Saccharomyces cerevisiae S288C: one gene and its partners. The protein of the gene in region 1 binds, or shares a complex with, the protein of each later gene. Each region holds a gene or a part of one and is shown in the gene's direction. Other genes may lie near its edges. The genes, in order: ITC1, DLS1, ISW2 and DPB4.

Region 1 (7,683 bases):
ACGCTTTCATTGCTTCCGAAGTTTTGATCAAGCAAGTTCCAAGACTATTGGGTCCTCAATTGTCCAAGGCTGGTAAGTTCCCAACCCCAGTTTCTCACAACGATGACTTGTACGGTAAGGTCACTGATGTCAGATCTACCATCAAGTTCCAATTGAAGAAGGTCTTGTGTTTGGCTGTTGCCGTTGGTAACGTTGAAATGGAAGAAGACGTTTTGGTTAACCAAATCTTGATGTCTGTTAACTTCTTTGTTTCTTTGTTGAAGAAGAACTGGCAAAATGTTGGTTCCTTGGTTGTTAAGTCCTCCATGGGTCCAGCTTTCAGATTGTACTAATCACTTCCGAGCGATTAATACATATCTCCATCTTTTTAAATACCTTTTTTAATACGTATGACTCTAAGTAGTAAAAGTATTATGCATAGTTTTAGCCAGATATTTTTGGGCCCGGAATATATCTTTTCGGGAAGCTCGGAGTATATTGCACCGATCCGATTCTTACTCCATATCATGCCATTTTTCTTTCCTTTCTCAGCGATGTTTTGTAGGAAATCACTTAGAACTTGCCTTACTTTAAAAGCATGTTGAGTGAATTTCACAGATCGATATGCTTTGGTGTTCAATCAGTTCAACCATACCTGCTATTATATAATCTTCGACTCGCATAATATAGGTATTCCATGCGCAAATAGATTACTTGCAAAATGGACATGACTAAAAACCACACCACTGACACAGAGGAGTTTGATGATGGTGATATACGTCCAGTCAGTTTGGGAATTGTGGACGATTATAACGCTTCGTTCGAATTACCTTTGAAACCAAAGTTTTTACAGAGTGAGAATTTCTCAGATTTAACAAGTGAATGGGACCAGTCTAGATCAAATACGCCTGGTCTTGCAGAAGGCAAGACTGAGAAAGCACAGCCATGCGGTACAACAGATAGTTCAAAAAATAGAATACATGTAGAGCAACTGTTGGAATCCGCTAATGAAATGAATAATTATTTGGCGCAGAATATAGAGAACATAAACAATTTTCAGGTGGGGCTATTGAATGGAGGGAAAGGATTATATAGTTCCATGGGTGATGATTCGAGCGCGTGTATTAATGGCACTAATTTTAGCTCAACGTCCAATTTTGAACTAAGTGATGATGAGCTAGAGGATACCACGGGTTGCACAAGTTCTATTTTTGATAAAGATCTTTTCCATCAACAAAACGGGCTAAGCATACCTCGCCGTAGATCACCACTCTTCAAATCTCCAACTGCCAGTTTCGAAATTGGCGATGCTACGGATGTGGAGGAGCAAGATATTGATGACTCCATTTTTTCTGAATGTAGCAGCATTACAAGCTTTGATATGGGAGGGTTGCATATCAGTCTACCACACGATGAAGAAGAAGATCAAGAAAAAACTAAGTCCGAAAGTGAAAACCCGTTGCTACATGGCATACCGGTTGATGTAGAAGTGCCCCACATATCGGTTGATGAAGCTCTGGCGAATTTCAAGGAAACCATAGAACTACTACTAAAACTTAGTGGCAATAGAAAGTGTACCGGTTTCAATACTAGAGTGGAGAAAAAAGAATACTCGAATTTCTACATGAAAAGTAAACCCACCTTATCATCAGCAGATTTTCTCAAGAGAATCCAAGACAAATGTGAGTACCAGCCAACTGTTTACCTTGTGGCAACATTTTTAATTGACACGTTGTTTTTAACAAGGGATGGCAATAACATTTTGCAGTTGAAGTTAAACTTACAGGAAAAGGAGGTCCATCGAATGATAATAGCAGCGGTTAGATTGAGCACGAAATTATTGGAAGATTTCGTTCACTCACATGAATATTTTAGTAAAGTATGCGGTATTTCGAAACGGCTTTTGACTAAATTAGAAGTCAGTCTATTGATCTGTGTGTGCAATACTAAATTAATGGTCAGTAACAGGAAATTAGCCGCCTCCAAATTACTTTTGAATGAACTACGGTCCTTCTGTGTATAGTTGATACAAGTATTTTAGATAATTATTTTAACGAACGTAACGAATGCTTTCCAGTCAATAGCGGCACTGGTAATATGATACAAACAATTTCTCAATAAAACAACGACAAACTTAGTCTGTTTATATTTCCGTGCAATGGTGGAAACCTGTACTCGATATTGGAGAAAACTTCAGAGCTTCCCAACAGTTATCCCGGATTCTTAATTGATGCTCTCGAAACGCACATAAAAATGTGATTTTTTTACTCGCATTAAATTACTGTTGAATCTATGGTTCAAACAAATGTATATTTGCCTACACATCTTTCTCTGTCCCTTCTGTATTGTCTAACCTTAAAATAGAAATATTTCATGGTTTTATTTCTTTTAAGTTTATTATCCATTTTTAACGTGGTGAGAAAACCCGAAATGAAAAATAATAAAGGAAAATTATAGAGGAAAAAAAGTGTAGAAATAGAAAAAAAATAAAAAGGATAATACCGATCAGAAAAATCCTCTTTCTTGCTCTTCTTCTTTTCTTTGTATTTCTCCTGAAAAAATTCAGAAAAACATATATTGGGTTAAATACATAACTATTTAAAAGGCTGTAAACAATTCAACTGACATTAGATACATCACACTCAATTACTGTTGGAAATAGGCAGATATATCCAGATTTTTACAATTACTATAGCACTTCCATTGAAGATATATAAAAAAAGAAAATAACAATAGGAGGAAGTAAAGAAAGCCGTTAATAAACAATGGTGTTATATAAAAGGAAACCTATATTACTTCCTGATCCAAAACCTTTACCATTGGATTTGAATGTACAAGTATGGCATATTGAAGAGACTGGAGAATGGTTTTCTAGTTACGAAGAATTTTTAGAAAGGTTTGATTTCTACACACGCCACCATTTTACATGCGAAATCACTGGTACTTCTTGCCTGACTTTTTTCCAAGCTCTGGATAGTGAGGAGACACAATTCAAATACGTCGAAGACAGATTCCCATTAAAGTTGAGAGAACCAGTTGCAAGATTTTTACATTTTAACGGAATAAGAAGGTTAGATGCATTGGTGGAGAAAGTTTACGCAAGATTTAAAAATGACTTTTTCCCAGGAGAAGTTGTTTATCTACGTAAACAGAAAGACTCTTCTACCACAAGCTCTAATTCCCAACAAAGTACTCCTCAACCTGATGATATGGTCGAAATCAACAGTGTTGGTAATCCTGGCTTACCGCAGTACCAATACCAAAGACGTTATGTTATCAAAGAAAAGGTCCAATTTAACGCAACGATAAATCCAGAGAGCAGGGAAATTGTGATGCCCGCTCATACTAAATACATGCTGATAGAAGAAGCAGCTTCCAGTAATAAATCCTTCATTGTTGATCAAGGACAAATTTACAGGGACCGTTCCACTTTCACTAAGCACTTAATCAAATGTTTTTTCAAGATTACTTTACAGAGGGCATCTTCGAAAATGGGTGCACCTTGGTGTGTCAAACCGGAATATTTAGCGATGTATGGTTTAACGATGGAATGGCCAAAAGATATGTTAAAATATAAAGAAGATGAACCTGTCGTAGCAAGACGTTCCAACAGTGCCAATGTTTCATCCCCAGAAAGTGAAAAGAATAAACGTCAAAGTAAATCATCGGGTAAAAGTAACACCTCAAACGATGCTTCTAACAAAAAAGAAACCAAGAAAAAAAGAAAGCCAACCGAAGTAAATGATTCTGAGAATAATTCTTCGGAAGAAGACAAGAAGAAGGGTCAAAATGTCACATCAGAAACACATTCTAAAAAAAGGAAAAAGGAAGCCAATGAGGAACCGAACACGGAAAACGTCGAAAGCGTTCCTACACCAGCTAATGCGGAGCCTCAGGCTGTAACAATAACGAGCATAATGGATGACCTAGCTTTGCCATATCAACATCCACCGAACATCTTTCCAAACTTAACGTATTATAATGAAAAATTAGAATGTATTTCATTAGGTTCTACAAAACTTTCCAGACCTTTTGATTCTTTTGGAAAGCTATTACAAGCCTATCAGTTTCTGAATACGTTTGGTTCGAAAATTTGTCTCTCTCATTTTAGCCTTGACCAATTCATTACTTCTTTGAAATGTACAGACCCATATGAGTTAAAGGGCGAAGTTGTTTTAGTGAACATAAGAACGCAAACGTCTAAAGAACAAGAAATTGAAAATAACGGCCTGCCGATGAAAAACAAAGCAGAGACTACTACTGAGGAAGACTCTGAAAACCCAAGTGACTGGCAAAGAAATTCATTTATTCGTGATATGATAATGAAAAGAAATTCCGACAAGGTTGAGTACAAGATTGTTCACGATGACCCAGCATCCGATGATATACTTGATAATATCAATCATAATGGGTCTGCTCTTCTCATTGAAGTTTTTACTGCGCTCTTACGTTTGTTCATCAACGAAGAAGGCGATTGGAGTTGCATCGTCGTTGAAAACTGGATAATAGACGACAAGGGAGTCCTTATGGAGAGAAAAGATGAAAGAGGGGAGGGGGAGGCGAAGCAAAAACGAAATGCTCACGGATACTTTTTACAAGATAAGGAAAAGATCGACAACCTAAAGGACACATTAAAGGAAAACGCAACAGAAGTTCAAAAAGAATCAGACGCTAAAAACGAAACAAATTCAGAATCTGATTCTAAATCTGATTCTGACAGTGAAGAACGAGATCCTAAATTAGAAAAGTGTTTGAACTACCGCAATGTTAACTGGATAGAACGCTTGACGAAAAGGCAATTTAATAACAGTTACTGGCTAATAATTTTACTGGGAGTCTTAGAAGATTGTAGACATCTTCCCATGTATACAGAGTTTATTGATTCTTTCATAGAAAAGATCATACCCAAAGATATATCAGCTACTCAATTGCCCAAACAGCTTTGGAGAAATTTCTGTCGAAAGCTGTCGTTCAGTGACAAAGTCAATGCGCTGTGGATACTTGTAGATCTCGTATCGCATTTTTCTCCAGATATCAAAGCTGCTGTAGATGATTCCATGGAACTATGTGGTCAAATTCGTAGCGAAAGATTCAAAGTTGCGAGAGAGTTGAAAACGGAGGCAGCCGTCTTAAGTAATCTTCAAGGCGACCTGCAGGCAATTCAAGAGAAGTTAAATAAAACAGATGAAAACACACCATCAGCCGATGGTGCCGATAAAAAAGATGATTCCGAATCAAATAGTGAACCAATTGATCTTATTATCATTGAGAAAAAGCAAAAGTTAATTGAAGAGCAGGATAAAAAGGTACAAGCTTTACAATCAGATAAAAATTTCCTCGATAATTGTCTATTTGAAAACGATCTACAAAGATTAAAGCCGTTGGGATTGGATCGATACGGGAACAGGTATTTTTGGCTGGATCACAATGGTGTTCCATTTCCTCAATATCCTGCTGGTATGAATGAGACGCCGAAAAGTAACAATAGTTTGAGTTATCACTCCGGTCGTTTATTAATTCAGGGACCTAAAGCATCATCGGCGAAATTCTTTTTGAACGTCAGTGATGAGCAATTGAGCAATTGGCAAAAAATCAGAAATTCCGAAGGAATATCCGAGGCAACTAGGGAAGTATTTGGTATCTCCAAAACTAGTTCCGGATCTTATAATTACGTAGAAAATGGAATAGAGGTCGAACTATTGGACAGTAATGATCGCGTAAACCCACTTATAGAGCTGACACCTATTCAAAAGAAAATTATGGATGAAACACCTTCAAGGTTGCTACTATCACCAGATCAATGGTATTGCATTGACAAGTTAGAGGACTTGTCAAGAATAATGGACTGGTTAGATAATTGGGGTCGCAAAGAGCATGATCTCTTGAGGCAAATCAGACCCATAATGGAACGAATTAAAAGTTCCCTTAGCTTGCGCGACCATGCGCTGTCACTGACAGCATTCACCAAAAATGAAGAAAAGTTGCTAAAGGAGTTAGAAAATAATGAATTTACCGAAAACGAATTGAACGTTGATAGTATGGATGTTGATGATAAAAATAGCGGTGTTAAAAGTGAGGTTGATGTACAGGTTGATGCCGAAGAGAAGAGAGAAGCTGTGATAGACGAAAAGTTGGAGGTGATTGCAGACGAACTCATGAAGCTAGATGATAGCTCGAAAACACGCAATGTTCTTAATAGAATACAAGAATTAGAAGATCAGAGAGATGAACTCTTGGAACAGAAAAAATCCATAATAAATTCGCAGAGGCCAGGCGCGAGGATTTTAGCCCGTTCAGAAAGGAAAAGAACCAAAATCTCCCGTGGTAATAAGGTGAATAAGCAGATTGAAATATTGACTGACTTAGTCAATTATAGACATTTTAAAGCTATGGAAGATGTGATAGCTTGGAAAAACGTTTTAGCAAATTCGATATGGGGTTCCTCACTTCGCAAAAATGCATCTGGTAATAAAAGGAGTGGTGTCATTGAAACAGTAGACGATAAATTAAAAGATATAGTGGGCCAAACCTCAAGAACAGTAACACCTGCCCCAAATTAATATATAAAAAACTTCCTTTGTAACTGATGGTAAATTGTAGTATTCATAAATAGGATAAGATTATTCATTGTAAGCATAATGGAAAAAAATAACACAACAAAGCCGCGCAAGATTGGACCATACTTTCTATCTAAGGTAACTATCACTTACTGGCTTGATGGATGCGTATTTTTGTCGGTACCAGCTTCTGAAATATCGATATCAAACATAGCTGGCTCAATTCCTTCCATCAATTGCTGGGTAATTTCGACTGGTAAACCGTTATCGTTAGAGATATTAGCAGATGCGCTATCAAAATCGAGTTCTTGGGCACCTGATCTCAAATTGCAAGAATGGCAAATAATATCTTCATACCAGTATAAACTTTTGTTTGTACCACAATGTGGGCAAGTCCTTTCGAAAGGAAGTACGTAAATTTTGGGTTTAATAGCAGAGTCGTGTGAGTTTCCTGGCATTTCGCCGTGTCGCAGTCTAAGCTGTTCAAAATATCTCAACTCCACTAGACTATGGTCAGATTCGCACTTATAATATCTGCAGTATTGTTCTATGTATGACAGAGTATGTTGAGGCTTGTACGATAATGGATAAAGTTCGTTTCCTTCTAAGCTGATATCGTGTCTATCGCATATTAGTATAGGTCTCAAAGTGTATGTATCGTTAAGCTTGACATCCTTTATGCACGGTAGAGTGGTGTCTACAGACATATTTTTCTTTTCAAACATAAGCTTAAAATTGGAGCTGTTCTGTGCACATGTAATATGATACCTATATTGGCATTTGTTACACTTCACTAACCCACCTCCATTTATCCTGCACACACCACATGTAAATCTACTATGTTTAATAAGCACAGCAGTGGTATTAAGGGCAGGTTGCATTGATTGTCCGTTTCCATATTTGATATCTTCATTGAAAAGTGAGCAAACCAAATGCACCCATGTCCCTAAGCTCGTGCATTTCAATGCGTCTGGACATATTTTAAATGATTGGCTCCTATATCTATCATAGTCATAGTCCTTCGTAGGACACATACTACATTGGTAGGTCGTTGATATTATAGGATTGAGGTCATTTGAACAAGGGTCACATAACCATTTAAATGTCTTAAGGTTAGTGTTTTTCTTCATATCTTTCGGCAGTTTAA
Region 2 (2,812 bases), on another chromosome or scaffold:
TTCTAGGGAAAAAAGCAAAGATAAAGAGCAGAATAGCGAGTAATTGAGCGCATGATAGGCACGTGAACTGCTTCAAGTTCATCTTGCTAACTTGGTGAAGTGTGCGTGGTAGATGAACTTATTTCGATATTGTTTATACTTTAACATTTTCCTTTTTTTTCCCAAACTGAGTTTTTCATCATATTCTTAAACTAAAGAGCTGGCTGTTAGAGTAGGACAAAGAGTATAAACAAACAGAATGTATGTATATATCCGTATAAGCATATCTATATATATATATATATACATATACGCAAGTAGGTAAACTATTTACAAAAGAGGAGAGAAGAACAGCGCAAAGCCTATTGATGGAAGACCACAGCGTACCTCCACATTAACGGTCTTTTCATGCCTTCTTCTTGGCTTCGTACTCCTTTTTGAGAGCCTCGAGCTCCTGCGGATCGATGGGTGGAATGGGCACGTCTGCAAAGTCGTTGTCCTTGTGCAGAAAATGATATGTGTAGTAGTAAACAGAGCCCGTGACACCCAGCAGCAGCGTGAGACCGAGCATATTGCCTTTGAAAAAGGGTTTACGGGCCCTGATCATGGCAGGCGTCATCTTCCACGTGCGGGTGTCTTGGTACTTGGACGGATTCAAAACCATACTACTTTGTCGTCTATATATGTGCTTTCGTTGCTGCTCACGTAGTATTGTTGCTTATGCCACCATAGTAAAGACTCCCTTTATACAATGAGCAAAAATCACTGCTTTGTCTGTCACCGCGTACGAGGCGGGAAAAGTTGGTTAACAAGAACAAGTGGGATTTGACAAGCTAAAACAGCTTATAACGGTCAAGAGATTTGGCTACGCCAAGGAGAAAAAACGGTGAGAAGCACAGTCGAGCGCAACAATGACAGTGGGTATTGCTAGGAAACTCTCTAGGGACAAGGCGCATAGGGATGCGCTGCTAAAAAACCTTGCGTGCCAGTTGTTTCAGCATGAATCTATAGTGTCAACGCATGCCAAATGTAAAGAGGCTTCCAGGGTCGCAGAGCGGATCATTACCTGGACAAAGAGGGCAATAACGACAAGTAATAGTGTTGCACAGGCGGAATTAAAGTCCCAAATTCAGAGCCAATTGTTTTTAGCAGGAGACAACAGAAAGTTGATGAAGCGGTTGTTCAGCGAGATCGCACCGCGGTACTTGGAAAGGCCCGGTGGGTACACGCGTGTGCTGCGGTTAGAGCCTAGGGCTAACGACTCAGCGCCGCAATCCGTCTTGGAACTAGTCGACTCTCCCGTGATGTCCGAATCGCATACGGTGAACAGGGGCAATTTAAAGATGTGGCTGTTAGTCAAGTCAGTCATCAACGATGACGCCAACCAGCTACCTCATAACCCACTCACATTGCAGAATCTTCACAAAGTGGCCAAGTTTAAAGCAGAAGCGCAGCTACATGGTGAAATTATGCTCATCAAGCAGGTCTTACTCAAGGAAATGTCCCTTCCCTATGATGAGGCACTCGAAAACGAAAGGACGCAGGCACTTTTGAAGGAGGTCTACTCTTCGTCATTGCCAAAGAAGACGAAGAAACCCTCCTCCTATGTCATGGTTCCCAGACCTTAAAAAAACCAGGATTTTGTGTATTCCCTTGTAAATATATAGATGACAATTGAAAGAACAGCGCTAACAATGTGCGTATTCTAATATAGTGTTTTTTTTTTTTTCCAACTAGAGAAAAAAATGAAAAATGTAAGAGAAACAAAACAGAAGAAACAAGAGAGAATAGCGTCAGGATAGCTCGCTCGATGTGATCAGGCTAACACAATGAACAACGAGACTAGTGGTAAAGAAACGGCGTCTGCACCTCTGTGTTCGCCCAAGTTACCTGTAGAAAAAGTGCAGAGAATAGCCAAGAATGATCCAGAATATATGGACACTTCGGATGACGCATTCGTAGCCACAGCGTTTGCTACAGAATTCTTCGTCCAGGTGCTGACACATGAGTCCCTACATAGGCAACAGCAGCAGCAACAACAACAGGTACCGCCGCTCCCAGATGAACTCACGCTGTCGTACGATGACATCTCTGCCGCAATTGTGCACTCTTCTGACGGCCATCTGCAGTTTTTGAATGATGTGATACCAACAACAAAGAATTTGAGGCTTCTAGTGGAAGAAAACCGAGTTAGATATACTACAAGTGTCATGCCCCCTAATGAAGTTTACTCCGCCTATGTGGTGAACGATACGGCTCCGAAGCCCAACATTGTCGAGATTGATCTTGATAATGACGAAGACGACGACGAAGACGTTACTGATCAAGAATAACTACACAAGCACATTGCATAGAAGGATTTTTCTTCTCTCTCTCACGATCTGTAGAACAACATAGTTTCTTTATACGTTAATTAAGTAAAGGGGAAAAAAAAAATATTAAGCCTTGAATTTAGGAGGTTACAAACGAAAAGGACAAGAAAGACAAAGGAAACCGACAAACCGTTTACTCGATATGGGCTTTTATGAAGGCGATGACAATGATGCCAACACCAAGGCATTTAATGACAAATATATCAAAGATCAAAAGTTCGCAACGGCACCCTTCTGGAACCTCTTTCCAAAGTTAAGGGATATTGATGAATACGATAATCCACTCCTACCACTGCCCTTCAATTTCAACTTCAGAGATCTTGGAGATAGTGCACTTGCCATGGCGTCCGGAATCCCTACGGTGAAGCAGTTTGACAAGTGCGAAGAACTTAAGGGCCAGTCTGCATGGACCACCCAAGGGATTTGGAAATGTCTTGTCCCAAGTAAGGCTATCCCCCCTC
Region 3 (7,440 bases), on another chromosome or scaffold:
TCGTATTGGCTTTGGTTTGCTCTGGCTAGGCATCGGCTTTTGGATCGGATATGTTCTAATCTTCCTGGCGTATAGTCGCGCAATCCGTGTCGTTACGGTCGTGCCATTTACACTGGGATGCTACTGCATTGTGTGTGGCATGTATCAAGTGGACATTGTGTATTCCTGGTTTGGCGTCACACAGAGACTTCTCCACAGACACAAAAACGCTGGCAATGACGAAGGAGATGCTTCTAGTGATACCGATCACGTGCCAATGATACTTGCGGTGTTCGGCGGTAGGCGCCGTCTTACCCGCATAGAGCACCCATTTACTCGGCAGCTTCTACGTAAGCGTGGACTGTGGTGTCTGCTTCTCGTAGTGGGTGCCACTGCCGCATTCACAGTTATTTTCAGCTGTGTTCCCGGCCGTCGTGTATGATGTAATCCATCACCCCCCTATAAAAACACCTGTGCACCGCATATTTCCATAGCGCGTGACGCTAAGTACAAGAAACAGCGAGGGGCCGTTAAGTGCAGGCTTTACCGAGGGCGCCGGCTGGCGCTTCCCGTGGAAGGGTGTTTGACTCATCATCGCATCGCATTACCTCATGATGAGTAAATAGTTGCGATTTCACTTATCACCTCTCGCGGAAAAAAAAGGCGATGACATGATATATAAGGCTCTCTCGTAAGACACTTAACTATCCAACGTTCATTAGATTATTCGGTCAATTTCTTTTTTCATGCCCCTCCTTTTTCTTTTCTTTTCTTGACTCGTCGTTTCTTTTTCTTTTTTTTTTTTTTTTTTTTCTTCAGAACTATAACACATAGATACACTCGAACATCTAATTGTTTAAATACTGCAAAGAATACAAGGTAATCGACTCTTCTACATACCCTTTTTGCAGATTTGAAATAAAAAAAACATTATATGTTTAGCTTATCGAACTCTCAATACACCTGCCAAGACTACATATCTGACCACATCTGGAAAACTAGCTCCCACTAATTTCATTGCTTAATAATCAGAAATTCTATCACAAACCACTCCTAAAAATATTTCAAATGTCCTCCGCTGCAACAAAAGCTACTTTCTGTATCCAAAATGGTCCTTCCTTTGAAGGTATATCTTTTGGTGCAAACAAATCTGTTGCTGGTGAAACAGTTTTCACTACTTCTCTGGTTGGTTACCCAGAGTCCATGACTGATCCTTCCTACCGTGGTCAGATATTAGTCTTCACGCAACCCTTGATTGGTAACTACGGTGTCCCATCCGGCGAAGCCCGCGATGAATACAATTTACTGAAGTATTTTGAATCTCCGCATATACATGTGGTCGGCATCGTTGTCGCTGAATATGCTTATCAATATTCGCATTGGACCGCTGTTGAATCTCTGGCACAATGGTGTCAGAGAGAAGGTGTTGCTGCTATTACTGGCGTAGACACCCGTGAACTAGTGCAATACTTGAGGGAACAAGGTTCTTCTTTGGGCCGTATTACGTTGGCTGATCATGACCCTGTCCCCTACGTGAATCCCATGAAAACTAACTTGGTTGCTCAAGTCACCACAAAAAAGCCTTTCCACGTCTCTGCCTTACCTGGGAAGGCTAAGGCAAATGTGGCTCTTATTGACTGTGGTGTTAAAGAAAACATTATCAGATGCCTAGTCAAAAGAGGTGCCAATGTAACTGTTTTCCCCTATGATTACAGAATTCAAGATGTTGCTTCTGAATTCGACGGTATTTTCTTATCCAATGGACCAGGCAACCCAGAACTATGCCAAGCTACAATTTCCAACGTCAGGGAATTACTAAATAACCCTGTTTATGACTGTATCCCTATTTTTGGGATTTGTCTAGGCCATCAACTCTTGGCTCTGGCCTCCGGTGCCTCTACTCACAAATTGAAATATGGTAATAGGGCTCACAACATCCCTGCCATGGATTTGACTACCGGCCAGTGCCACATTACATCTCAAAATCATGGCTATGCAGTTGATCCTGAGACCCTACCAAAGGACCAATGGAAACCTTATTTTGTTAATTTAAACGACAAATCAAACGAAGGCATGATACACCTTCAAAGACCCATATTTTCTACCCAATTTCACCCAGAGGCAAAAGGTGGTCCCTTAGACACAGCTATTCTTTTTGACAAATTCTTCGATAATATAGAAAAATACCAATTACAATCTCAGGCAAAAAGTTCAATCTCACTAAAAGTAACATACAGTACCGATAAATCGAGATTGCAGAGTATAAATGTTACTAAGTTGGCCAAGGAAAGAGTGTTGTTCTAAAAACAAAATTTATACATTACGTAACACATACGTACATCTAAATACGATTCAATTCAGTTCATGGTATTTTGCGCTACTCGTCGTTGCTTAGTATCTACTCGCAGTTGTCATAATTAACGGGCGCTTCTTGTAATTAAATGAACAAAAAAACGTAACGTACGTACAATGGCTCTAATTTCATCCTGCCATCCTAAAAAAAAAATCAAATAAAGCAGACTCAAAAATTTTCAGCTTCAGTTAAATTTTGATAAGTATATTTGCATAACTCAAGGAGTTTGTGCAAACGGTTTTCTTTCTTTGTGGTTTGTTTTATTTACTTTCCAATAATACCCGTCTTGTTGGTTTAAGTCGTAACAAAAGGAAAACTTACAATCAGATCATGACGACCCAGCAAGAGGAGCAACGAAGTGATACCAAGAATAGCAAAAGCGAGTCACCTTCAGAAGTTTTAGTCGATACTCTCGACTCAAAGTCAAATGGCAGTAGTGATGATGATAATATCGGACAAAGTGAAGAGCTATCAGATAAAGAAATATATACAGTAGAAGATAGACCACCAGAATATTGGGCTCAAAGAAAGAAAAAATTCGTACTTGATGTAGATCCAAAATACGCCAAGCAAAAGGACAAGTCCGATACGTACAAAAGATTCAAATATTTATTAGGCGTCACAGACCTTTTCCGTCATTTTATTGGAATTAAGGCAAAACATGATAAAAATATTCAAAAACTCTTAAAACAGTTAGATTCTGATGCAAACAAACTTTCCAAATCACACAGCACCGTCAGTTCGTCATCACGTCACCATAGAAAAACAGAAAAGGAGGAAGATGCTGAATTAATGGCTGATGAGGAAGAAGAGATTGTAGATACATATCAGGAAGACATATTCGTCTCAGAATCTCCCTCCTTCGTCAAGTCAGGAAAATTAAGAGACTATCAAGTTCAAGGCTTAAACTGGTTAATATCGTTGCACGAAAACAAACTATCTGGTATCTTGGCCGATGAAATGGGGCTGGGTAAAACCTTACAAACAATTTCATTCCTAGGTTATTTGAGATACGTCAAACAAATCGAGGGACCCTTTCTAATAATAGTACCGAAGTCAACACTAGATAATTGGAGACGAGAGTTTCTTAAATGGACTCCAAACGTCAATGTCCTTGTGTTACATGGTGATAAAGACACAAGAGCTGATATAGTACGGAATATAATATTAGAAGCTAGATTTGATGTATTGATTACATCTTATGAAATGGTCATTAGAGAAAAGAATGCTTTGAAAAGATTAGCTTGGCAATATATTGTTATTGATGAGGCTCACAGGATCAAAAATGAACAAAGCGCGTTATCTCAAATAATTAGATTATTTTACTCTAAGAATAGATTATTGATTACGGGCACGCCTCTACAAAACAATCTACACGAATTATGGGCCCTGCTAAATTTCTTATTACCTGATATATTTGGAGATTCTGAACTTTTTGATGAATGGTTCGAACAAAACAATTCGGAACAAGATCAAGAAATTGTAATCCAACAGCTACACTCAGTACTAAACCCCTTTTTACTGAGAAGAGTCAAAGCGGATGTCGAAAAATCTTTGCTACCTAAAATCGAAACGAATGTTTACGTGGGGATGACAGACATGCAAATACAATGGTATAAATCATTATTAGAGAAGGATATAGACGCTGTTAACGGTGCTGTTGGAAAAAGAGAAGGCAAAACGAGGTTACTGAATATTGTTATGCAATTAAGGAAATGCTGTAATCATCCATATCTTTTTGAAGGCGCAGAACCTGGACCTCCATACACTACCGATGAACATTTGATTTTCAATTCCGGGAAAATGATTATATTAGATAAGTTACTGAAAAGACTGAAGGAAAAGGGATCTAGAGTATTGATTTTCAGTCAAATGTCGAGACTATTGGATATCTTAGAAGATTATTGCTATTTTAGAGATTTTGAATATTGCAGAATCGACGGTTCTACTAGCCATGAAGAACGTATAGAAGCTATCGATGAGTATAATAAACCTAATTCTGAAAAGTTCGTTTTTTTGCTAACAACACGTGCCGGTGGTTTAGGTATTAACCTTGTCACAGCCGACACTGTTATTCTTTTTGATTCTGATTGGAACCCTCAAGCTGATCTACAAGCAATGGATAGAGCGCATAGAATTGGTCAAAAGAAACAAGTTCATGTTTATAGATTTGTCACAGAAAATGCTATTGAAGAGAAAGTCATTGAGCGTGCCGCACAAAAGCTGAGACTAGACCAGTTGGTTATCCAACAGGGCACGGGCAAGAAAACTGCATCTCTTGGTAACTCAAAGGATGATCTGTTGGATATGATTCAATTTGGCGCTAAAAATATGTTTGAAAAGAAAGCAAGTAAAGTCACTGTTGATGCTGATATCGATGATATTTTGAAAAAGGGGGAACAGAAGACACAAGAACTAAATGCCAAATACCAAAGTTTAGGACTTGACGACTTACAAAAGTTCAATGGGATCGAGAACCAATCTGCTTACGAATGGAATGGTAAAAGCTTTCAAAAAAAATCCAACGACAAAGTAGTTGAATGGATTAATCCTTCCCGAAGAGAAAGAAGAAGAGAGCAAACCACTTATTCAGTTGACGATTATTATAAGGAAATTATTGGTGGTGGCTCTAAATCAGCAAGCAAGCAAACTCCGCAGCCAAAAGCACCCCGCGCTCCAAAGGTTATACACGGTCAAGATTTCCAGTTCTTCCCCAAGGAGTTGGATGCCTTACAAGAAAAGGAACAGCTTTACTTCAAGAAAAAGGTCAACTATAAGGTTACTTCTTATGATATTACGGGAGATATACGTAATGAAGGAAGCGATGCTGAAGAAGAAGAAGGAGAATACAAAAATGCCGCTAATACAGAAGGTCATAAAGGCCATGAGGAACTTAAAAGAAGGATTGAGGAGGAGCAAGAGAAGATTAATTCAGCACCGGATTTTACCCAAGAAGATGAATTACGAAAGCAAGAATTGATATCAAAAGCCTTTACTAACTGGAATAAGAGGGACTTTATGGCGTTTATCAACGCCTGCGCCAAATACGGTAGAGATGATATGGAAAACATTAAGAAATCTATTGATTCCAAAACACCAGAAGAGGTTGAAGTGTATGCAAAAATATTCTGGGAAAGACTAAAGGAAATCAATGGGTGGGAGAAGTATTTACATAATGTAGAACTTGGTGAAAAAAAAAATGAAAAACTGAAATTCCAGGAAACTCTATTGAGGCAGAAAATCGAACAGTGTAAACATCCATTACATGAGCTGATAATACAGTATCCACCTAATAATGCTAGAAGAACTTACAATACCTTAGAAGATAAATTTTTATTATTAGCTGTTAACAAGTACGGACTTCGTGCTGACAAGCTCTATGAAAAATTAAAGCAAGAAATCATGATGAGTGATTTGTTCACTTTTGATTGGTTTATAAAGACAAGAACGGTGCATGAGCTATCAAAAAGAGTCCATACGCTATTAACTTTAATTGTAAGAGAGTATGAGCAACCTGACGCAAATAAGAAGAAAAGGAGTAGAACTTCAGCGACTAGAGAGGATACTCCTTTATCCCAAAATGAAAGCACTAGAGCTTCAACGGTTCCAAATCTCCCGACGACGATGGTGACAAATCAAAAAGATACAAACGATCATGTTGATAAAAGAACCAAAATTGATCAAGAAGCATGAATCATGTATTGTGCATTAAAATAAGTGACGTGAGAGATATAATTTTTTATATTACTTTTTCATTGAATACAATTAAACTAACGAGCCTTATAGACCGCATTATATAATGAACCGTAGCCACTTCTTGACCACTATCTTCAAGTTTGATAATGATAAATGACAGGTAATCATATTTCAGTCACCTTTTTCCCTTCAATGAAATGTGATATCGCTGCAAAAATGGTGAATGAAGAGGACAAATTAAGTCTAACTGGGTCGAGCCGCTTTAACTAATTCATATCCATTCTAAGATAATTGAACTGCTGAAAACTAAAGCCTGCTTTGATACTTGTCATATTGTATTTATCTACAAACTTACATTAACAACAGTGTACTGAATTATAAGAGAGCAATTGCCAAAAAAGTCATTTAGTTAAAACTTCTCCATTTCAAGTTTCCAAGGATAGGTGAAGTGCTATCCCAGAGACTCCAAAAACATGCGAATATATTATTAAGTTTCAGTTGATTAATATTTCTAAACCATATAAAAAAGCACGTATTTGGCACGATCTGTAGTTAATTGCAACCTAGTTACGCGATAGCACGCGTTTTCTTTTTTATGAATAAAAGCATTAGAAGTTTCCATGTTACTACTCACCTGCTCTCACCGACTCATTTTGTTAAGCTTGTCTTCAATTGCTTGTATACTGCGTGAAAACTCATCATCATTTTCCTTCATTTGCCTCTGAACATCCTTTAGTGATTTTTCTATTTCATTTGCCAGGTCAAACACGGTTACAATATTTTCTGTATCTCCCTTTATTGAGTTAGTCTCAGATGTATTGGCCAAGGGAGCCTGTGGTTCCTCCGAAGCTTCCAGTTTTTCAGTACTCATTACAGTGCTCCTTCAGAAGATGCAAGTCACATTTACAATATCATTTAGCGCTAAGGTAAAATGTACCTGTAAGCCAAGCCGCTTCATTGGTTTGCTAGTTTTTTTTTTTTTTTTTTTTTTTTCAAATTATTTATCGAGGCCAACTGAAAAGCAAAACAACATGGTTGATCGATACATAGAAATTAACGACCAGGAAGCGAAATACTGCAGCAAATTTCTAAAGCTTCTTCCTATATAAAACACGGTAAAGAACGGTAAAACATGATAAAACATGATAAAAAACTATTTGGGACGAAGATGGCTCAATAATCCTGCAATTCAAGCATATGTGAAACAAAATGCTGCTGTCGCCCATTCTACGGTGTTTCAAGGAAATCTTTATGAATATACGGTGATGAGGGAGTTATCTGAGAAACTACGAATGACAAAGTTGAGAAAAACCGGTGGCGCCCATGATGGTGGCGTAGACATAAAGGGAAGCTGGCCAGTAGATGATATTTATTGGAAAATTTCATCGTTAATGCCCAATTTGGAAATGGCT
Region 4 (4,222 bases), on another chromosome or scaffold:
GTTGGCCTGGTGCTGTATACTTCTTTAGTAAGGCAAGAAAAGCATGAGTTTGATAAGAAAAAAAAATTTGCTAAAAATGAGTGTAACACTACCAACATGGCGAGTTTAGTTTGATACTAGGCGCTATACATTATTATTTATATGCCCAGAGGTTACAACAGTGGCTACAATGCAAAAAATATACTGGCTTATATTTTTCATTTGAGATCTGGTTCCTCAAATATATATATATATTTATTTATTTTTTACACATACATACTGCCCTCCTGATTACTTTAAACATCTATATTACAAAAGAGAAGCATTCTTTTCCGTCCATTATACCGTTCTCGGGCGGATCCTTAGTTTCTTACGTTTTAGCTCTAACACTAATCAAAATTCTTATGAAGTGTTGGGACGGGCTTTTGGGCCCCAATTCTTTGTTGGATTTTCCTGATATCTCACAATTTTTAGCTTCCTTAGTTTTTCAATATTACCGCTTTGTTCATTTGGTGCGAACGACAGCTTTGAGTCATACTCTGATTTGACAGTGCCACTCAACCATCCTGGCATTGCCGATAAAATCTTATAGCCCGTAGTATTTGGATTCATTTTGCTTAAGTCTTTCTTCTCATCATCACATTTCTGCATCACATACCAGATTGCATCCCATGGAGCGTTAGTCTTTAGGGACGATGGTTGGGCATGTGTCAATGAACATTCAAAGCCTAGGGAACCTAGGCCTGCGACTACTTTTTTCAAGGGAGGTACTTGTAATTTTATTACCGATGCAATATGGTTAGGACTGAAATAGAATGGCGAATCGGATAATTCATTCTTAGCTAGAGATAGCATACCTTCAATTCTTTTACGTGTTCCATATGTATCATCCTGGTCACGATGCTCTTCTTTATTAATTCTCAACACCTCCTCGATGAACTCCTTGTTGTGTAGAGGTCCTGCATACATTGGACCAGCTAAATGGTATGTCCCCTCGCAGAACTTACATTTAGTATCAACCGGAGGCCCTTGCGCAACCGAGTATTTGGTGAATGTTTTGTTGTTCCTACCTTCGCGTTGAGAAATTCTGCCCAGAGGTTGATTGTGGTAAGAGCCGCAACGGGAACAATGGTAAGTAGTCATAGTACTTGACATAACGTTTTTGACTTCAATCGGGCTTGTTTTGACTTTGACAAAAACTCTGACGTAAAAGTCAATGCTCAACGACAAAAGCGGTTCCACAGTTTTCTTGTATTTCGCGGCAGTTTGCTTTAGTAAGTTCAATACTAGTCTCAGCGCACTTTCGTGAGTTGATTCATGAGAAACCATATTTGCACCACCATATAAGGCAAAACACTTTTCTGGGTATCCGTTACCGGCCAAAACGGATAAATCAGTGCAAGTTACCAGCATTAGACCACCCTCCTCAATACTCTGAATAGCCGCATCTACAAAAGGTGTAACGGTACCGTAAGGATCCAAGTCGATGACGTGAAACTTATTATTCGTCGCTTTGTTACGGTACATTAAGACATTAGCATCATCAAGGTTTGGCTTGACAATGTTTTCGACACTATTATATTCAACGTTTCGTTTTATAGATTCGACAGCCTCTGGAAGTAAATCGTTAGCAATAACTTCCCTCACATGGGGAATTTCATGAGCATACCTAATGGCTCTTAACCCAGTGGCTGACAATGCTTCCAAAATATTTATATAAGGTTCGTTTCGATTAGAATTACCAACGGCTTCTTTTGGTGACCCGTTTCCCATTTTTTGACGCTTGGAAGAATCATCGTTAGTTTCCGCGCACCTTTTCTTCTTACTTTTTTTATTATTTCTCTTTTGGCCACATTCCTCACCATATAGGTTGTCCCACGCCTTGATGCATGTAACACTTAGATCTCTATTAAATTGTTGGATGGGATTATAGAAAACAGTTTCCTTTTTAGGGAAAAGAATTTCTGCTTTTCCTTCCTTGACTATATTGAAATCCTCAATATTGATTCTTGGTGCACCATACGCGGTAAAATTCGCTTTAATTTTGGATATAGCAGCCTTCAACATTCCGTGTAAATTTGCCCGCTTGAGGGGTATCCTGAAGAAACCTTCCATATCTACATTGTAAGAGGAAAGGTATCAACTTATGACTGCTCAGGATCTGTAACTTTGCGATGAGCATTGAATGCGATGAAAAAAAAATAATGCTTTATCCCTTTGGACGAATAAAGAAAGGCTCAAATTGGAATAACGTTAAAAACCAGATTCGATCATCAGAGCTTAAAATTGTTATTCATAGCGGCACAATAGCAGAAGCCACAGAATATTACCTAGAGGTTTTAGGTGAAAGGAAGGATTTTTTTAATTATTTAATACTTTGAAATAGAAGTCAAGCCTTTCATTGCTTATTTATATCAGACCATATATTTTTACACACGATGCCACCAAAAGGTTGGAGAAAAGACGCCCAAGGGAATTACCCCACTACTTCGTATATTAAAGAACAAGAGAACATTACGATTCAGGACCTGTTATTTCCTAAAAGCACTATTGTGAATTTGGCACGCGAAGTGCCACAGCAAAGCGGCAAAAAGCTGCTGATAAATAAAGACGCATCACTAGCGTTACAGCGTGGTGCTACAGTATTTGTTAACCACTTGCTCCTGTTTGCAAGGGAAATTGCAAAGAGTCAAGATAAAAAAAGCTGCAGTGTAGATGATGTTCTGAGTGCTTTGGACCATATAGGACACTCGGCATTGAAGGGTCCGGTTAGAGATAAACTAGATGAATACCAAGCTGCTGTTGAACAGAGGAAGAAGGAAAAACTAGATAGTGGTGAAGTAGATGCTGATGGCGATATAGATATGGGTGAAGATAAGGAGAATGTGCCCGTGGAAAAGGTTAAAGAGCATGACGAAATAGAAGAACAAGGCGATGCATTACAGGACGTAGAAGAGTCCTCCGAAAAGAAACAGAAAACGGAGAGCCAAGATGTAGAAACTAGAGTTCAAAACCTTGAGCAAACGTAACCCCGCTATGGAAACTGTCTAGTAGTGCTTGCCACCACTCCCACAGGATCGTAGTATGTAACTTGCCTTTATTACCTACATACATAATAAGCTATACTCATCGTCGTTATTTGCAAGCCGGGGAACCCAACGCGGCGCCAATGCGGAAGGAAAGAAAGGGGACAAGAAGTTGATATTGGTGGAACGTTAACAAGAAATTATGGCGTTGAGGAAGTGTATTAGCGAGATACGATATCAAGCAGGTTTAGTTAGAGCCACTTTGTGATTTGAAATTTTTTGAGATTTACTTCGTTATTATAAGGACATACGGTAACCTAGGCTAGTTAACATAATTAGTTGTCACCCTTCGCCCCCCTACCCTATCGGTCTTTCATTTTCCAACTATTGATTAGTAAAATTCAAACATCTTTGCTCCGATTAGAGCAACTGAATATACTAGGGATTTTGGGCTATTACGCATTTTTTTTTTCAACTTCTTTTAAACAGGTACAGTTTATTACGATTACTTTTTGCTCACGTAGAATATGGATGATTATCACGTAAATACTGCCTTCTCAATGGGCAGAGGTAACCAGCAGGATGATGGCAATAGTGAAAGCAACAGCATGCATACACAACCAAGCACTATGGCGCCCGCTACGCTGAGAATGATGGGAAAAAGTCCACAGCAGCAGCAGCAGCAGAACACACCGCTAATGCCCCCGGCGGATATCAAATACGCCAATAATGGTAACTCACATCAAGCAGAGCAAAAGGAGAGACAAGTAGAACTTGAAGGTAAATCGAGAGAGAATGCACCAAAGCCAAATACTACCAGCCAGAGTCGAGTTTCGTCTTCTCAGGGCATGCCTAAGCAGTTTCATCGAAAATCGTTAGGAGATTGGGAGTTTGTTGAAACAGTTGGTGCAGGTTCTATGGGTAAAGTGAAGCTGGCAAAACATCGTTACACTAATGAGGTTTGTGCAGTAAAAATTGTAAACCGTGCTACAAAGGCTTTCCTACATAAAGAACAAATGCTGCCACCACCCAAAAATGAACAAGATGTTTTGGAGAGACAGAAGAAATTAGAGAAGGAAATATCTAGGGACAAAAGAACTATTCGAGAAGCGTCCTTGGGACAAATCTTATATCATCCACACATATGTAGACTTTTTGAGATGTGCACGTTGTCAAATCATTTCTATATGTTGTTTGAATATGTTTCAGGTGGTCAG

Evidence for each region.
Region 2: ITC1 (region 1) and DLS1 share a complex: the UniProt entries of both Saccharomyces cerevisiae proteins name them as parts of the ISW2 complex.
Region 3: ITC1 (region 1) and ISW2 share a complex: the UniProt entries of both Saccharomyces cerevisiae proteins name them as parts of the ISW2 complex.
Region 4: ITC1 (region 1) and DPB4 share a complex: the UniProt entries of both Saccharomyces cerevisiae proteins name them as parts of the ISW2 complex.

The regions. Positions count from the first base shown.
Region 1 is NC_001139.9:254,963-262,645, forward strand, and holds ITC1 (Itc1p), read left to right. Parts: upstream 1-2,744; coding exon 2,745-6,539; downstream 6,540-7,683. Other genes in the region: 60S ribosomal protein uL1 RPL1B, read left to right, coding at 1-332; PCL10 (Pcl10p), read left to right, coding at 701-2,002; DNA-binding E3 ubiquitin-protein ligase SNT2, read right to left, coding at 6,686-7,683. UniProt on the Saccharomyces cerevisiae protein: Functions as a component of the ISW2 complex, which acts in remodeling the chromatin by catalyzing an ATP-dependent alteration in the structure of nucleosomal DNA.
Region 2 is NC_001142.9:314,554-317,365, reverse strand, and holds DLS1 (Dls1p), read left to right. Parts: upstream 1-1,808; coding exon 1,809-2,312; downstream 2,313-2,812. Other genes in the region: mannose-ethanolamine phosphotransferase LAS21, read right to left, coding at 1-82; COA3 (Coa3p), read right to left, coding at 386-643; mitochondrial 54S ribosomal protein bL17m MRPL8, read left to right, coding at 891-1,607; MPM1 (Mpm1p), read left to right, coding at 2,494-2,812. UniProt on the Saccharomyces cerevisiae protein: Functions as a component of the ISW2 complex, which acts in remodeling the chromatin by catalyzing an ATP-dependent alteration in the structure of nucleosomal DNA.
Region 3 is NC_001147.6:881,852-889,291, forward strand, and holds ISW2 (DNA translocase), read left to right. Parts: upstream 1-2,662; coding exon 2,663-6,025; downstream 6,026-7,440. Other genes in the region: RAX1 (Rax1p), read left to right, coding at 1-421; YOR302W (uncharacterized protein), read left to right, coding at 914-991; carbamoyl-phosphate synthase (glutamine-hydrolyzing) CPA1, read left to right, coding at 1,048-2,283; BIL1 (Bil1p), read right to left, coding at 6,669-6,899; RRG7 (Rrg7p), read left to right, coding at 7,171-7,440. UniProt on the Saccharomyces cerevisiae protein: Catalytic component of the ISW2 complex, which acts in remodeling the chromatin by catalyzing an ATP-dependent alteration in the structure of nucleosomal DNA.
Region 4 is NC_001136.10:691,168-695,389, forward strand, and holds DPB4 (DNA polymerase epsilon noncatalytic subunit), read left to right. Parts: upstream 1-2,417; coding exon 2,418-3,008; downstream 3,009-4,222. Other genes in the region: COX26 (Cox26p), read left to right, coding at 1-47; TRM1 (tRNA (guanine26-N2)-dimethyltransferase), read right to left, coding at 382-2,094; serine/threonine protein kinase KIN1, read left to right, coding at 3,533-4,222. UniProt on the Saccharomyces cerevisiae protein: As accessory component of the DNA polymerase epsilon (DNA polymerase II) participates in chromosomal DNA replication.